2 linked regions of the Lytechinus pictus genome follow. The protein of the gene in region 1 interacts with the protein of each later gene in a pairwise test. Links are inferred from orthologs where the notes say so. Each region holds a gene or a part of one and is shown in the gene's direction. Other genes may lie near its edges.

Region 1 (7,603 bases):
GTAGCTAAGGGAGTTTCGAGGTTCCGCGGGACCCATGCAGCACTTGCCAAGAGAGAAAAAAGGGGGAAGAAAAGAGAAAGAAAAATACAAAGGAATGGAGGAAAGACAAGAAAAAAAAACAAGAATAAGAAAGTGAAGGAAATAGGGGGGAGGGGAATAATTGGATAAAAACTTTCAGGTAATTAAGAAAGCGCTCATATATATTTATGCTTCCTTGATTGGGATAACAATCTGCTCACGAGGAAACCATATAGGCCTAGGCTTAAAATATTCCGTTTTAAAGTCAATATGCAGAAATTATTCTCATGATTCGAGTTTTAATTATTATTTTGTTACAGTGAGATACACACCATGTTCATGATTACAAAAAGTATTTGTTTAATACCTTTTTAATTCAAATTGAATTGTTTCTGTTTTCCTTTAAACCACTTTTTTTTTCTGAAGAGGACTTGGATCTAAAAGGGCAAGTTCACTCCAGAAAAATGTTAATTTGAATCAATAGAGAAAAATCAAACAAGTATAACAATGAAAAAGAAAATGAATATGAAAAGATTAATGTATGTAACTATAGACCAATAGCTTTATTGCCTACTTTGTCTAAAGTTATGGAAAGGGTGATCTATACAAGATTATTAATTTTTTTTTATTAAAGATGATATAATTTCTGTTTTTCAATATGGATTTCGCCAAAAATATATCTCATGCCACTCTCTCATTTATTGACAAAATCACAAAAGCTATTGACAACTTTGAACACACAATAGATGTTTTTTCTGGACCTCTCCAAGGCCTTTGACACTATAAAAAAAATCATTAAATACTTCTCTACAAACTTGAAAATTACGGAATTCGTGGGAAGGCCTTGGAGTGGTTCAGAAACTACCTCGCAAATCGTAAGCAATTCTTCTCTACAAAATGTTAACCGGGGTGTTCCCCAAGGCAGCCTCATGGGCCCACTTTTATTTATAATCTATATAAATGACATCCAGAACTCCTCTGAAATAATGTCTTTTTTTGCAGATGATTCAAATGTACTCTACTCTCATCCTAACCCCGATATTTCAATTAATGTACTGAACACTGAACTGGATAAATTGGTACAATGGATTAGGGCTAACAAATTGTCAATTAATGTACAAAAAAACGAAATGCTTGCTTTCTAGCAATTCTTTATAGAACAATTGCCATTTAATATTAAACTGGACAATAAAGACAATGAAGTTATTACTACAACAACATTTTTAGGTCTCATAATAGACAAATTATCTTGGAAAACACACATTGACTTTATATGTCGTACAATTTCACGCAATATTGGTGCTTTCAACAAAGTTAATTTTTTTCTTTCAACTTCCTCCCTAGAAATGCTTTATTCAACATTAATTTTACCATATCTAAATTATGGAGCAATCGTTTGGGGGAAATACACACTCAATTACCTACCTATAGATAGAATATTGCTTTTACAAATGAAGGCGTTGCGTGTTATTTTCAACTTGTCCTGGAGATCCCACACAGATCACTTGTTTTTTAACAAGAACATTCTAAAAATAAAAACAATGTACCAATATAACTTAGGTCAATTCATGTATCAATTAAACAATAATATGTTACCACCCATATCTAATTCTTCATTTAACAAAAACAAAACTCTTCACAATATCCCACATGCACGTCAATCAGATGAATTCCATTAACCAGTTTACCACTACCCCGGACCATCCTTGCAAAATCAATTTTTACTTTTGAAGGCCCTAGACTCTGGGGAACTATTAATAATAACATCAAAAAATCACCAAGCCTAAATTCTTTCGCATATAAGTTCAAAAAGTTTCTCCAAGATAACCATTGAATTAACTCTTCATCACTCAAACTCTTGTATTTAAAATAAATCAAACATGAATCATGTGCATGATGTGACGTACACTTTTCAATCTCTTTCGTTTTCATGTTGATCAGCGAGGTCCGTTTGTGCGTATACTGGGGCTGGATTCTGGAGACCTTTTATTTCTCTTTTCTTATTTCCTTTTCTATTTTAATTTCTTCTTATTTTTTGTTCATTTAATAACTGGTTTATGCTCACGTTGTTATTAGCAGCCACCTCCATTTCCAACCTGATATGTAATAATCTTGAATATAATTTTTGTGAAGGGATACTTGAAATTTTCAGTGTTGTGCTTGTTGGATTTAACTTTATCTTTTTATGCAAAGCCACTCTCTGTTGGGGTGGACTTGTCCTTTAAGAAGAATTGGGATAAGGAGGAAACACCAAGGAAAACAGGACATGGACTTATAAACAAAAATGGAAATGATAATTACAGATCCCACCACGGAAAGCCTGTAAGTAGGCGTGATTATTTTGTGAGGGGGAAAACAAAACAAAACCAAGAAGGTGGCGGGAAAACGACCTTGTTGCCCTAGTAACAGGAGCCGTTCATGTTATCACCTGAGGGAATTTGATGAGCACTCGTGGACTGGTCTGTAGCCGCATTCTGACCTGACTCTTTGCATGCCTTCAGACATTTTTTTAAACACATGTTTTTGAGCTTTATTTTTGTTTCTCCTTCCTAAAGTATTGTTCTATAACGTGTCCCATCTTGAATTGAATGTTATGTTATTCAATCAATAAAACCGAAAGGAAAAGAAAACCGTGAGAGCAGAAAATTAAAAGCTGTCGGGTGAAAAGGGGAAACTCGACAAATCAAAATTTGATCACCCGTTTAGAATATTTTTTTTTTATATAAGGTATCTTATAATAATATTAATAATATGCATGCTTGAATGGTCGTTTAGATATACAGGTTACCATGTTCACTTATTATTTCCACTATTTCCTAAGCTGGGTTACTAAACCAATACCCTCATTTGTGGACTTAACTGCGGTAGCATAAACATTGGTTCAATCAGCCACATCTTTTACAGCGAAACCCTTTGACAGTGTGTACAAGCATTTGGAGCCTATGCAATTTACTCGGCGCGAGCACGTGAAGTTAATTAGATGAATATGCTTTAGCCAATCAGCGGCGTAGCTGTAAAGTCACCGATTTTTCGCTGGATAGTGGGCGTGTCCTTCCGTGCGTGATAATGCATATGTGTATAGGCGTAGCATTGCGGCTGTTCTTGCTATCGTCGGGAATAATATTTGGCGGTGGGAATTATTATCACCCAGCCGTAGAAAGGTCTTTATAAGATTTCATTTTATGATAGTCTTTGTTTTCTGTTGACTGATGGCCGTGTGTTGAATCTAACTCCTCGATGATGCCATATCTGTGGAATTTTCATTTAACATGACTTAAGGCTGTTCCAAACAGTCAGGGCTAGAGAAATTCCGACTCGATGTAATGAAATGAAAAAAAAGAAAAAAAAAAAAAAAAAAAAAAGACATGACAAATACACCAAACGGACACACGAATATCCCTGATCATGTCCTGACGAGGCACAATATGACCTCCATATGTATATTGCAGGCGTTGATTTGGACTTGAGTGTGACATGGTGATAGGTCCATGAGTGTGAAGAGAGACTTTGTGATTTTTGAAAATGTTTTTTTTTTCTAATCAAAGTTTTTTTTAACGAGTAGGCTGACATCATTAATCGATACCCCTGTTAATACTAATTTAAGTTGAGAAGATCGATTTTCACACCTCCGTTAAAATGAAAGGGTTTTAATAATTTTGAAGATTTAGAATATACCCCACTCTTAGCCAAACAGGTGAGACTCAGTAATCCACCATAATAAAAAGAAAACCTACGTTTTAAAACGCAATGTTGAGTTTTTGTTTGCCGTAGCTGTGTTCAATTCAGGCAAGATCTCTCAGCCAATATTTGATTGACTTGTTTTCACGGCAAACCCTCCCGGGTACACACACCATCTAGGCCGGATACATGTACACTGTATCGCCTGTGTTTATTTTTAATAAATAAGGGCGAGTTTTTTTCGCTCACGTAAGTGCAATCTTATCGTTCGAACCCCCGTTGCGGCTACCCCCAGGGTAACTTGATAATTTTCCTTGCTTTGTTGTTGGCTAGCTAATCCCTATGGAATATTGTGCAGCCTCGTCTGCCGCAGTGTGTATAGTGTGAGGCTGGATTGCCAGCTTATATCAGCGTGAAATGCAATCGGTTTCTGTGCCCGCATTCCGCGGATAAGTGGTAGGTGAGGCTTTCACCAATTTGTCAGCTGAACTTTAGTCAGGCGTGATCACGGTGTCACTCGCAGGGCGTGGCCTGTGGACGAACGCGCCGCTGATTGGTTGCTGAATCTACTATGCTGACATAAATTAGCGGCACGTGAATATCTCGGTTCTTACTGGTCACGTTCAATCGCCGTCGGTGATACAGCCAATCAATTACTTTCCTTTTATGGAATATATCACTTGTTTCTTTGTCGTCGCGTCCCGCGTGGAAACTGACCTATTATGTGGTATCTAAATGCCGCACATGATATAGTTTATTCTAAGCCAGATTTATAGTTTTGGATATGGAAAAAAAATTAAAGTGGTTTACGGGTCGTGCAGTTTTTCAAATTATATTTTTTGGTTAATTTTCGAACTAAAACATGGAACATGTATACTTTTGAGGCTTTTGAGGTATAACAGCGGTATCTATTTCCCCCAACAACTGAATATATCCTCGTTGAACTACAAGTGTACACCAGCGCTGAATTGACTTGGACGAATATACGCAGACACTATATACGCGGGCAAATTACTTCCCACCACACAAACAGTGTATTGAGTATTAAAGCCTGTCATGCCCGCCCATTGGATATACACGTAGTGTGTGTAAGCGCGTTGTGTGTATGCACGGGATATATATGTTTTACACACACTGCGTGCATGCTTCGCTGTTTGGAACGGCTAAGTTTACACATGAATCGAGTATTCATGGCCCGGACACCAAGGCGTTTCTTGAGGATTTAGAGTATTGGAATATATCATCGTCGATTTTTACATTTATTCTGGATTCTTAAAAGGAGTCAGTTACCTATTGCCGTCATGTATCCGCAGACCAGGCATGCAGTAAGTAAAATATTTCGTTGTTTTTGTGTGCTAATGATATAAAAGTCGGCTAGAAATAGTGTTAATGTTTATGAGTGCTGTGTGCGGTGTGGTGTACGCGGTACGCATATCGCATAAACCCGACCATAGCAAACACACTATCAATCAGTCATGAATTGCTCAGCTAATTCACTGTGGTCCCATTGACTGATATTGCAGTAAGTCGTGTAGTACTTTGTCTAAGACATGGAATGTGCTAGTGCATTGTCCATTGATTATATTGATTATACTAGATCATGATGTTTTGATGTAGCTCCTTGGCTTTAATAGATATTCACTTCCTTATTTTTATTGTAGACTAGGCACTAGCTTAATATTTATTGGTTGCCTTATTATTTTTTGTGTGAATTTAAATGTTGTTGTTAGGAATTTTGGAATGATGTCTGGTCCTGATTGTTGTATTTTTATGACCTAGGATCTAAGCATCTCTTTCTTATTTAAGAAAATATTCTTTTAAACCTCTACTTGTCATGCTTGTATTCTACCTTGAATTCAGCCAACTATGCCTTGACCTGGGCAAAAAAGTTGACGGATGTTAATCTTGTGTGTCTGATCATGGAGTATTCGCCAGGCCTTGCAATGCATAAAGACCCGGGCCGGTCCCCCTGTACTTACAGATGCAAAAAGAATGTAAAATGGAAAAAAAATGATTGCCATCTGTTGGAAAACGCTATGCATCTGTTGTGTACTCATTACGTACATGCTTCATAAGCTCTATCCATGCCCATCGAGCATCCGTCCATCGGAAAGAGGGAGGAAAGTTATAAAGGTACACGGAACGTATATACATCGTTAGTAGAAGTACAGAAAAAGAAAGGATGTAAGTGTATGCATCTCGTAAACAAAGTATTCAAAATCCTTGGTAACCTCTTCGGAGCTGTCATCCACTTCCATCCGTTTTTTGTCTCACCTGCATAGCAGAGTGAGACTATAGGCGCCGCTTTTCTGACGGCGGCGGCGTCAACACCAAATCTTAACCGAAGGTTAAGTTTTTGAAATGACAGCATAAGTATATGGACCTAGTTCATGAAACTTGGTCATAAGGTTAATCAAGTATTACTGAACATCCTGCCTGAGTTTCATGTCACATGACCAAGGTCGAAGGTCATTTAGGGTCAATGACTTGGACCATGTTGGGGGAATCAACATCAAAATCTTAACCTAAGGTTAAGTTTTTGAATTGCCATCATAACTTTGAAAGTTTATGGATCTGATTCATGAAACTTGGACATAAGAGTAATCAAGTATCACTAAACATCCTGTGCACATTTCAGGTCACATGACCAAGGTCAAAGGTCAATGAACTTTGGCCATAATGGGGGTATCTGTTGAATTACCATCATAACTTTGAAAGTTTATGGATCTGACTCATGAAACTTGGACATAAGAGTAATCAAGTATCACTGAACATCCTGTGTGAGTTTTAGGTCACATGTTCAAGGTCAAAGGTCATGTAAGGTCAATAAACTTTGGCCATGTTGGGGGTATTTGTTGAATTACCATCATACCTCTGTAAGTGTATTGGTCTAGTTCATAAAACATGGACATAACAGTAACCAAGTATCGCTGAACATCTTGTGCGAGTTATAGTAGTTTTCAAAGTCAGCACTGCTGCTATATTGAATCACGTGATGCAGGTGAGACCGCCAGAGGCATTCCACTTGTTTGCGCAAGGTTTCTGATGAACATCCCTTTAACGTCCGCGCTACATACTACCCACGTCCGTTCGTGTCCATTATGTTTTCGCAAAATTTTCGCTAATTTGTCCATTTCTGGAGCAGATGAAAACGGATGGAGCCACCCCCGAAATTTTGCTTGTACGCTTGTGTCCCTTATGAATGCGTTTTATGTCCGTCAGCTAGTGGGACCAGGCCTTAAATTTGTACGTGCAACATTTTTCATCATGTGCTGCCCCTTTCCAAATGGATGAACACCTTTTATGTGCTAATATTTTATAATAAAAAAAAAATCAGTGATGCAGAAGTGATGAAGACGTACCCCTGTTGCGCTTCACAACTCATTTGACAAACTTATATTTCGCTACCCCAACATGCATAAGTTGGAAAGTTATGATGACCTATTTCATGAAACTTGGACATAAGGGTGATTAAGTACCATTGAACATCCTGCCCGAGTTTCAGGTCACATGACCAAGGTCAAAGATTATTTAGGCCTTTAGGGTCAATGAACTTAAACCATGGATGTTGGGGATATCAAAATCTTAACCTCTCTCTTGTTTCCTTTCTCCATTAAGGTCGGAGATCACTGATATCAGTAAAAATGACTGAAGACGCTTCTTATGGGTTGCTAAAGTTAGACAAGTTGCTGAAAAGATTTTGGCACGTTGTGTGAAGATTGCGAATGAAGTATAAAATAAGAGTGTGGAGCTGGGTTTCACTAGCACTGCTAATGCGTACAGGGGGAAGAAAAAATACATTCTAGAAATAACTGGGGGTCTGCCTCAAAGAAACCTGGAAATCGTCTGGTATTGTTGTCCTTTATGTGATTGATGAGGTCACCGCACACAGATGCAGTGGCTGGAC
Region 2 (7,683 bases), on another chromosome or scaffold:
ATAACAATATATATAAATATATATAATATAACAAAAAGTTGGTTTATTTTCGAGGAAGACGTAAAACCATGGAAAAATATCTTGGTGATTATAGTTACATTGGAATAATTGAATCTTTCATTTACAATTTTATTCTTTAATTTCAAAATTCCCCATGCAACAATGTGAATCGCCGTTATATGAAACAGCTGAGACATGGTCACTCTCATTTAGATCATGCATGTTTGTTGGGTTAAATGGCGGTCACTTTTGCCAATGTTTGCTGTGTAAATCTTAGCATTGATCTGTGAAGTACCCACACTTTTTAACAGTATTTTAAACCAATATAATACCCAACATACCTGCTTTTACAAAATTGTTAACCAAATATTGGGTAAAGGTTTATTCCGTGCTTTTTGACGAAGAATTGATATTATTTTATTTTCACTGAAATTACATTAAAAAGTATATATATATAAATAAATATAGTTGGTCAAGATGATATAGCATTGAATTTCCATAAGATGAAATAGACCAATCATATTTGATGTGGGCCTACTTATATATTATTTCAAAATTAATATTGAAATGTGTTAGCAGATGAATTTGTAAATAATCAAGATACTAACATCGAATATACTCTCAAGCAATAGTATTTTCCTAATTTGGCACTCTTATACATTGTGAACACCCCAAAAAAAAAAAACACAATAATAAAATAAAATAATAACCGGTAGGAAACAACCGTCATTGTGGTTGGTTTAGTAAGTGTGCGCCTAACAGGCTGCTTGAAATGCTATGAATCCAGTGACCGGGTAATATTAATTGTTAAGCGCTTTGAACAATCGTAGATTGATAAAGCGCTATAAAAATGCCAATTATTATTATCATTAAATAACCGATGGGATATTTTAGAATGTATTAATAATCGTGTTTTCCAGATCCAAACAACAAACCGTAACTCCTCAGGTCCAGGATTCAAATCCTTTCAAGGAATATTGGCACTAGACCATGCATTGATATTAATGTTCCCAACTCAACCAAGGAAAATAAATTCAAAATCATCGAACATAATCTCAGGGGCCGCGGAACGATTTTGAAAGTGGGGGGCTGAGCCGAAAGTGGGTGCTGACCATGCAAAACACAGTCAAATGGCGTTTTTAGAGAAAAAAGAGTGGGGGCTCACCCAGCCCCCCCCCCCTCCGTTTCCGCGACCCCTGCCATATTGACAGTTGTATGTGATAATAAGTGTCACACCTAGTGCAAATTAGCAATGTGGGTAAAATCCATAGTTATTTAATCTTCATGCCTCTGCGATTACATTTTGATCAAACTCGAACTACATAACTGCATAAGAAAGTTAGGGGAGCGGGAATGCAATGAAATGTCTAACAATAACATTTTATTTTAATAGTATAGCCAATGATCAATGTACATTAACCTGTCACTTGACGGCGATGTGCTTTTAGTCAAGAGTTTCTTGATCATCCAAATAAGTCACAGAATGGAAGAAAAGAGAGCAGGATTCTTTTGAAATTGAAAGCCGGATTCGAATGCCCGGGCTAGACCCGAGGAACAAAACAGTTGATCAACAACCTCCTTAACACCCCGCGAAACACAGCGGAACCTGGCCGTCACAATAGGGGAGATGACCAGGCGGTGAGTGCGACGAGCCGCTAAGATCTCCTTGTTCTGCGGCATACAGAAAAGCATCTATAAGAACTCTTTTATTGTTAGAAGCCAATGGGCATCATCACCTGGTCGAATTTTTAATTGATTTCTTAACTTGCCTACAAATTAGTTGAGGCATTTGCTAAGTGTGAATCACCCATATCATTTCTTTATATAAATAAATGCATTTTTTTTTGTTTATATATAATTGTTATTTTCAATAGATCAGAAGACTATTCATAATAAAGATTCCTTAATATTTCATCATGATTATTATGTTCCGACTCGGGTAGAATTTGCACTAGTAGTCCAATGAATTTATAACTCATAAAAAAAAACGGGTTACGGGTTCCATCTCTGTAACTTGATTACAATTTCAATACCAGAGAATTGACTTCATGGAAAAAAAATAGTCCATATGCAAACCTGAATTACAGGATTGAGTAGTCAATAGATGGGGAATATCTTCTCTTTTCATCTTAATTTAGTAAACCATTATGATGAGTTTGGGATGCGATGCAATATGTCACACTGCACCAACTCCGCTGTTGATTTACCACCAGTCCGGAATCTATGTATGTCCAAACCAGAAGTGTTAAGTGTTAAACAACACCAGTTTGGTTTTGATCTAACACCAGATAGGTGTTTAGACAGCACCAATTATAACTAAAACAGCATTGGTTTGATTCTAAACTGGTGTTGTTTTCGATACTTGCCTGGTGTGGACATATATAGATTCCGGGCTGGTGGTAAATCAACACGGGAGTATTTGCAGCGCACAGAAATCTCAATCATACACAATTGGGGGCGAAGATCCATGCTATATAAACTGTCATAGCCTCTGAAATGTAAATTAGTTAGATCGGCCAGAATGATTAAGAAAATCAGAATAAAATAAAATATATAATTTTTAATATATACATGCCAAATACCCATATAATTATACGAGACTATATTCGGCGCATTATTATCTCCAATATTACAGTAAAAGTACGCTTTTGTATCTTTGGTTCCATTGAATGTACATCATAATAATGACATTTACACTCATGTTAACTCTAAATACGTAAATATTTGTTTTTACTCACTATATTTATGTTTACTTTACAGAACAAGAATTATCATCATAATGTCAAACTACTGCATGGGCCTATATACAAACCCTGTGTAGTCACGATGTTTTGTTTATTTCTCCGGTTCTCATCTCTTACCATGTTGTAATAAAATATAGAAATACATAATCTTAAAATAAAATATAGAAATACATAATCTTAAAATTACGATACACATTGATTTTACAAATTTCATTTCAGTTCATTCATTTGACCAATGCCAGGTTCAAAACAATAGTAAACATGATCAGGATACACATGAAGTCGGAGCTTGTTTAAAAAAAATAAAGGTGAAAATATTTATTTTATTTCATATTACTAACATTAGTTATTGTGGTGAATATACTCTTTCGATTTATTAAAATCCAATTCATACTTGACATGATTGAGGATTACTCGACATTGGCATGCAGGGTTGATTTTTGTAAAAAAAAATTCTTTGTCAACATGGTAGTACGCAAAGCTTTTTTCTATAGGGGTAAGTGAATGTTCAAGAATACATATAAGCGAGTGAATGACGCTGTCGAGTTAATTCCGATTTTTTTTTTTTTTTTTTTGGGGGGGGGGGGGTAGTTTGAATTGAGATTGAAAGAGGAGGTGCACTCTTGATGTAAACAGTTTGGGAATTTATGCCCCATCCACACCCCTGCTCTGGGTAGAGTACAGCCATGGTATAGTCAATGTCTTCACTGGCAAAACCAGAGGGCGTTAAAATTACACCCGTCGTTGTTATGAAAGCACAACACAATTTTACACTGGTGATGATTTCATAGTGTTAGTTCAAAACTCATTGGTGTAATTATAACATATTCTGTTTATTATGCATGGTCTGGTGTTATATTGAAACACTATGACTTTTTTTACACCTGGCTGGTATGGGTCTCTCACAATACTGACTGGTGTTGTGTTCAACACCAAAGCCCTTTTATGTACATTGCAATTTAGGAGCCGAGGGCAATGACCCCAAAATTACTAGTAGCTAGTTTTCACATTCTTTTCTAAAATAATCCAATTAGACTTAATATGATCAGCAGCTAATCAAGATTTATCCAAAGACGTATCATCTAACTTGCATCGCTACCTATAAAGTACCTTGAATATCTTACAAGAAAACAATTTAAGTTGATCACCGAATTAAACTAAAAATCGAAACTCTATTTTTATTTACTTTGAGTCTGGGTTTGCCATTCCGACAGCTTTGTGTCATGGAGTTTGAAGTATTGTGACGGGGTAGACGGTGTAAGAGCTAAGCTTTCCCATTTTTCGTTTGAAAGGAAGATTTAGGATGATACAACGCCAAGGGCTCGTAAACTTTATACACAGATTTCAGTGAATGCATAGATAGCCAGAAAGCTGTAAAGAAAATAAAGTATGGTATTAACAAGATCTTGGGAGGGGAGACAAAAGTGAGAAGAGTTTCAATGACGACTTGCTTTCTTCTCAAATCTTTGCCCTTTATCACGGCGGCGATCAGAAAGCGAAAGCTGTAAGAAAGGACGAAGACGACCCAATTTGTGCCATGAATAGATATCAGTGTCTCATCCCATGCATCTATTTCAACTATCTTTTATGTTACTGATAGGGGTAGAGGCGGTGTCGCTGTGTGCCATTGACGTGTAAATGAGCGATCCTTTTCAACTTGACTGGTCGGGAGAACGCGCTTTTGTTGTTTTTGTTAGCCCTCCGTGTCCGCACGCCATTGTGCGCGTTCGCTATTGATGACTCCGTGTAATGGAGCTTTGATTACCAGATCGTTTAGTGTCTTCGGCTTGGAAGCCGCGATTAACATAACAAAAGGGGTACGCCCCCTTATTGGTGCGCTAAAGTTCAAAAGCACTGTCCCTTATTGGGTGTTACCTAATCTGGTATGGTCATGATTGAATTTAACTCACCGTATTTATATCCGAAGAAAGCTGGAACATCGTCATATTTCACTTTCGTCACCCAAGAGAGAAGTTATCATGTCTTCGAGTCTTTAAACTTACCTGATGAGAAAGTGAACTCGTCTGCATTGTTAATGTACTACTGATATCAGCTGAAAGTTGACACACAAGTTGTGTTGATATCCTTTAAATACCTTCGTCGAATATATTACATGGACACTTTGTAACCCTTGGACTCGACAACCACTTCGTCAGCAAGCCTGACCGAGGAAGCACTTTCCTGACCGTTCCACTTCAATTTTCCGAAAAAGTCAAAGAGCACCGATCATAAATTGATGTTGTGATATTTCATCCAATCAAGAAAGAGAAAGTTTCGGGTATCGGGCTTGTCGTCTAGATTTGATTTGGAGTTGATTTAAAGTCAAGGATTGGTGGACAGCAAACGTACATTGATCGAGTGTTTTCTGTTTAACATGGACAAAGGTTTTACCAACATGCTTCCTACGACTGACAACCAACATCAAGACTCCAACAACAACGTCACCACTACACCAGGAGCATCTCACAGTGCTGTAGCAGCCCCGTCAGAGGCTCGTCATCATACCCTCTTCATGCCCTATGCCGATGTTTCGTCCAGCAGTTCATCAAAGACTTCATCAGCTGCTGCCGTCATCATGAGCCGGGCCGTCACGGGAGGTGATGTCGCTGTCCCTTCTACGATCGGCCACCACCCAACCTTGCTGCCGTACCCCACGGCTCACACCATCCCATCGGCACAGACGTTGGACTTTCGTCACTCGACCCATCATCATCCCCTATCACGATCACCTAGTCCTCCTGTCAAGGGTGAACATCTCAGCGGCGATGAACACCAGGACACTCTACTGAATGGTCACTACTCTCGGGACTCTAGCCCATTGGGAAAGTGGGGTGATCGCCTCTCACCAGACAGCTGTCCTGACAACCTAGAGTTTGGCCTACACAAGACGGATTCTTCTCCACCAAATTCTGCACTTCGTGGTAAGTTATAGATTTGATTTCGCCAATTTTACTTAAATGTTCTTTTCAGACTTATTGCATTTTTAACACACCTGTGAGACCAAAAATAATTATTATAGTCGTTACACCAAAAATGTCTGTATCAAGATGATTTTTCTGATGTCTTTTATTACTTTTCAATTTAACGATTCGTTTGGATAAGAGATATTTTCCAGTTATATGTGTATTTTAGAAGGAAGGAGGGTAGGAAAACGTATGGGTTTGAAGATTGAAAGAGTTTTTCAGCTGATTGCCCCCGACACTTGCCGAGCGTCACGCCACGTTGGCATGGGGCCCGAGACCTGTATACTGCTCTAATCATGTAGAATATTATCAACCTACTGGTTACTGGTGAAATCATGTTGACCATGCACTTATAATTTTCCATTTTATGATTTCCCATCATTAGCGATAATGACAAGGGGAAGTCAGGGTGCCATCATTGCCACCAAGAGCCAAAGTATCAAGGTGGTCATTAACTTTAATATGCTTTTGATTAGGGTTGGGGTAGATGTGACTTGTTTGTCAGATCAAGCGTTTGCTTCAGTTGATTTCAAGATTATGCAGTCATGTATATAATTGTAGTTGATATATGATATTCAATAGTTGATGTTACGCGTTGAATATGCTCTTGCTATCATAATGTGGATGCGATTATTGAGAATATACTTACAACAAATTGCTTACGAAATTGTGTGATTTTTTTTTTCTTCTGTAAACAAATTGCAAAATTAAAGCTTAAGTTTTGCATAAGTTTTGAAATTTAAATATTCTTAATATTTAAAACAAAAATCAAATATGTTGGTAATTGTACATAAATATTTGATCTATATTATATTATGCGATCAAGTTTTAATGATAAAACGTGTTTCACTTTTCCTGTTTACAGCTGACCCGCTGGACCCATCACAGGTTCGCCGATACCGCACCGCATTCACCCGGGAACAGATCGGCCGACTTGAAAAGGAGTTTGCCCGTGAGAACTACGTATCCCGACCCAAACGATGCGAGTTGGCCACCGCTCTCAATCTACCAGAAACAACTATCAAGGTATGTATTATTTTTAGTTTCTAAGTCAAAGATATTTCATTTGGTATAATGCACATAAATTCGATTTGAATGTTTCAAAGAAGGGGCGAGCTTTGTTAATAATCATGCAGACATGTGTTTTGACCTTAGATATTTTCAATGGAACCCGAGAAAAGCACAGAGTTGATTATTGTTTAGCATCCTTTACTATATACTGCTGATTGTTTTGACCCGTCAAAGAAAAAAAAATATTGAAAAATTGTAACAAGAAATAAAATTTTGATCAAATTGAATATTCGTTAACGTGAATATGTTGTTTATGGCTTTGTCATATATTTTAGGAGTTGCTTGTTAAAGCTCATACATGTAGCCTGAAAGTACAAAGTGATCAAGTGACTTAACTCAAGTTTCACACATCATTTACTCTCCGTTTTTGATCATTTACAACTTCTGAAAGTCGAAGTTTTTTTGGCGTCGCCTGATCGTATCCCAAACCGTTCCTCTTGATTCGGAAAACATAGAAGTTTAGATTAGCATTACAGTACAACTTATTTTTAACGTTTCGGTTCGCTTCTTAAGAGGTTTCGTATTTTGCTGTAAAGTTCCTTCCGGCTTAGTTATCTATTTTTAATCCCATCATCACCAATGATCACCGCAAAGCAAATATATTTCCTTAAGATGTTGATCTGTTATGCATCATTAATACATAGTTGTAAAAGGGTTATTCACTATTTGAGAAGTATATAGGCACCTGTATAACGTAATGACTTTTTATTTGATATGCATGACTTGATTCAAGTAGCAACGCAATCGTCAGTGCGAATCTATATTTTGTTCAAGAATACATAAATATGCTTTTTTAAATACATTTAAATAAAAAAAAAAGAATTGTCAAGAATTGGTCGAGTATGAAAATAAAATAACACTGTCTACCTTGTTCGATGATGGCATCATGTTATCTGACTTTAAGA

What was found.
Region 2: the proteins of transducin-like enhancer protein 4 (region 1) and homeobox even-skipped homolog protein 2-like interact in a two-hybrid assay, tested with the Drosophila melanogaster proteins (2 studies listed by BioGRID). The link is inferred for Lytechinus pictus from reciprocal best matches to the Drosophila melanogaster genes gro and eve.

Annotation. Positions count from the first base shown.
Region 1 is NC_087249.1:5,395,055-5,402,657, reverse strand, and holds the start of transducin-like enhancer protein 4, read left to right. Parts: upstream 1-4,371; 5' UTR 4,372-4,997; coding exon 4,998-5,021; intron 5,022-7,603. UniProt on the Drosophila melanogaster protein: Transcriptional corepressor that regulates transcription when recruited to specific target DNA by hairy-related bHLH proteins. Maternally required for neurogenesis; in the segregation of the neuroectoderm. Directly or indirectly interacts with Notch and Delta.
Region 2 is NC_087247.1:44,796,656-44,804,338, forward strand, and holds the start of homeobox even-skipped homolog protein 2-like, read left to right. Parts: upstream 1-4,516; 5' UTR 4,517-5,118; coding exon 5,119-5,665; intron 5,666-6,572; coding exon 6,573-6,733; intron 6,734-7,683. UniProt on the Drosophila melanogaster protein: May play a role in determining neuronal identity. May be directly involved in specifying identity of individual neurons.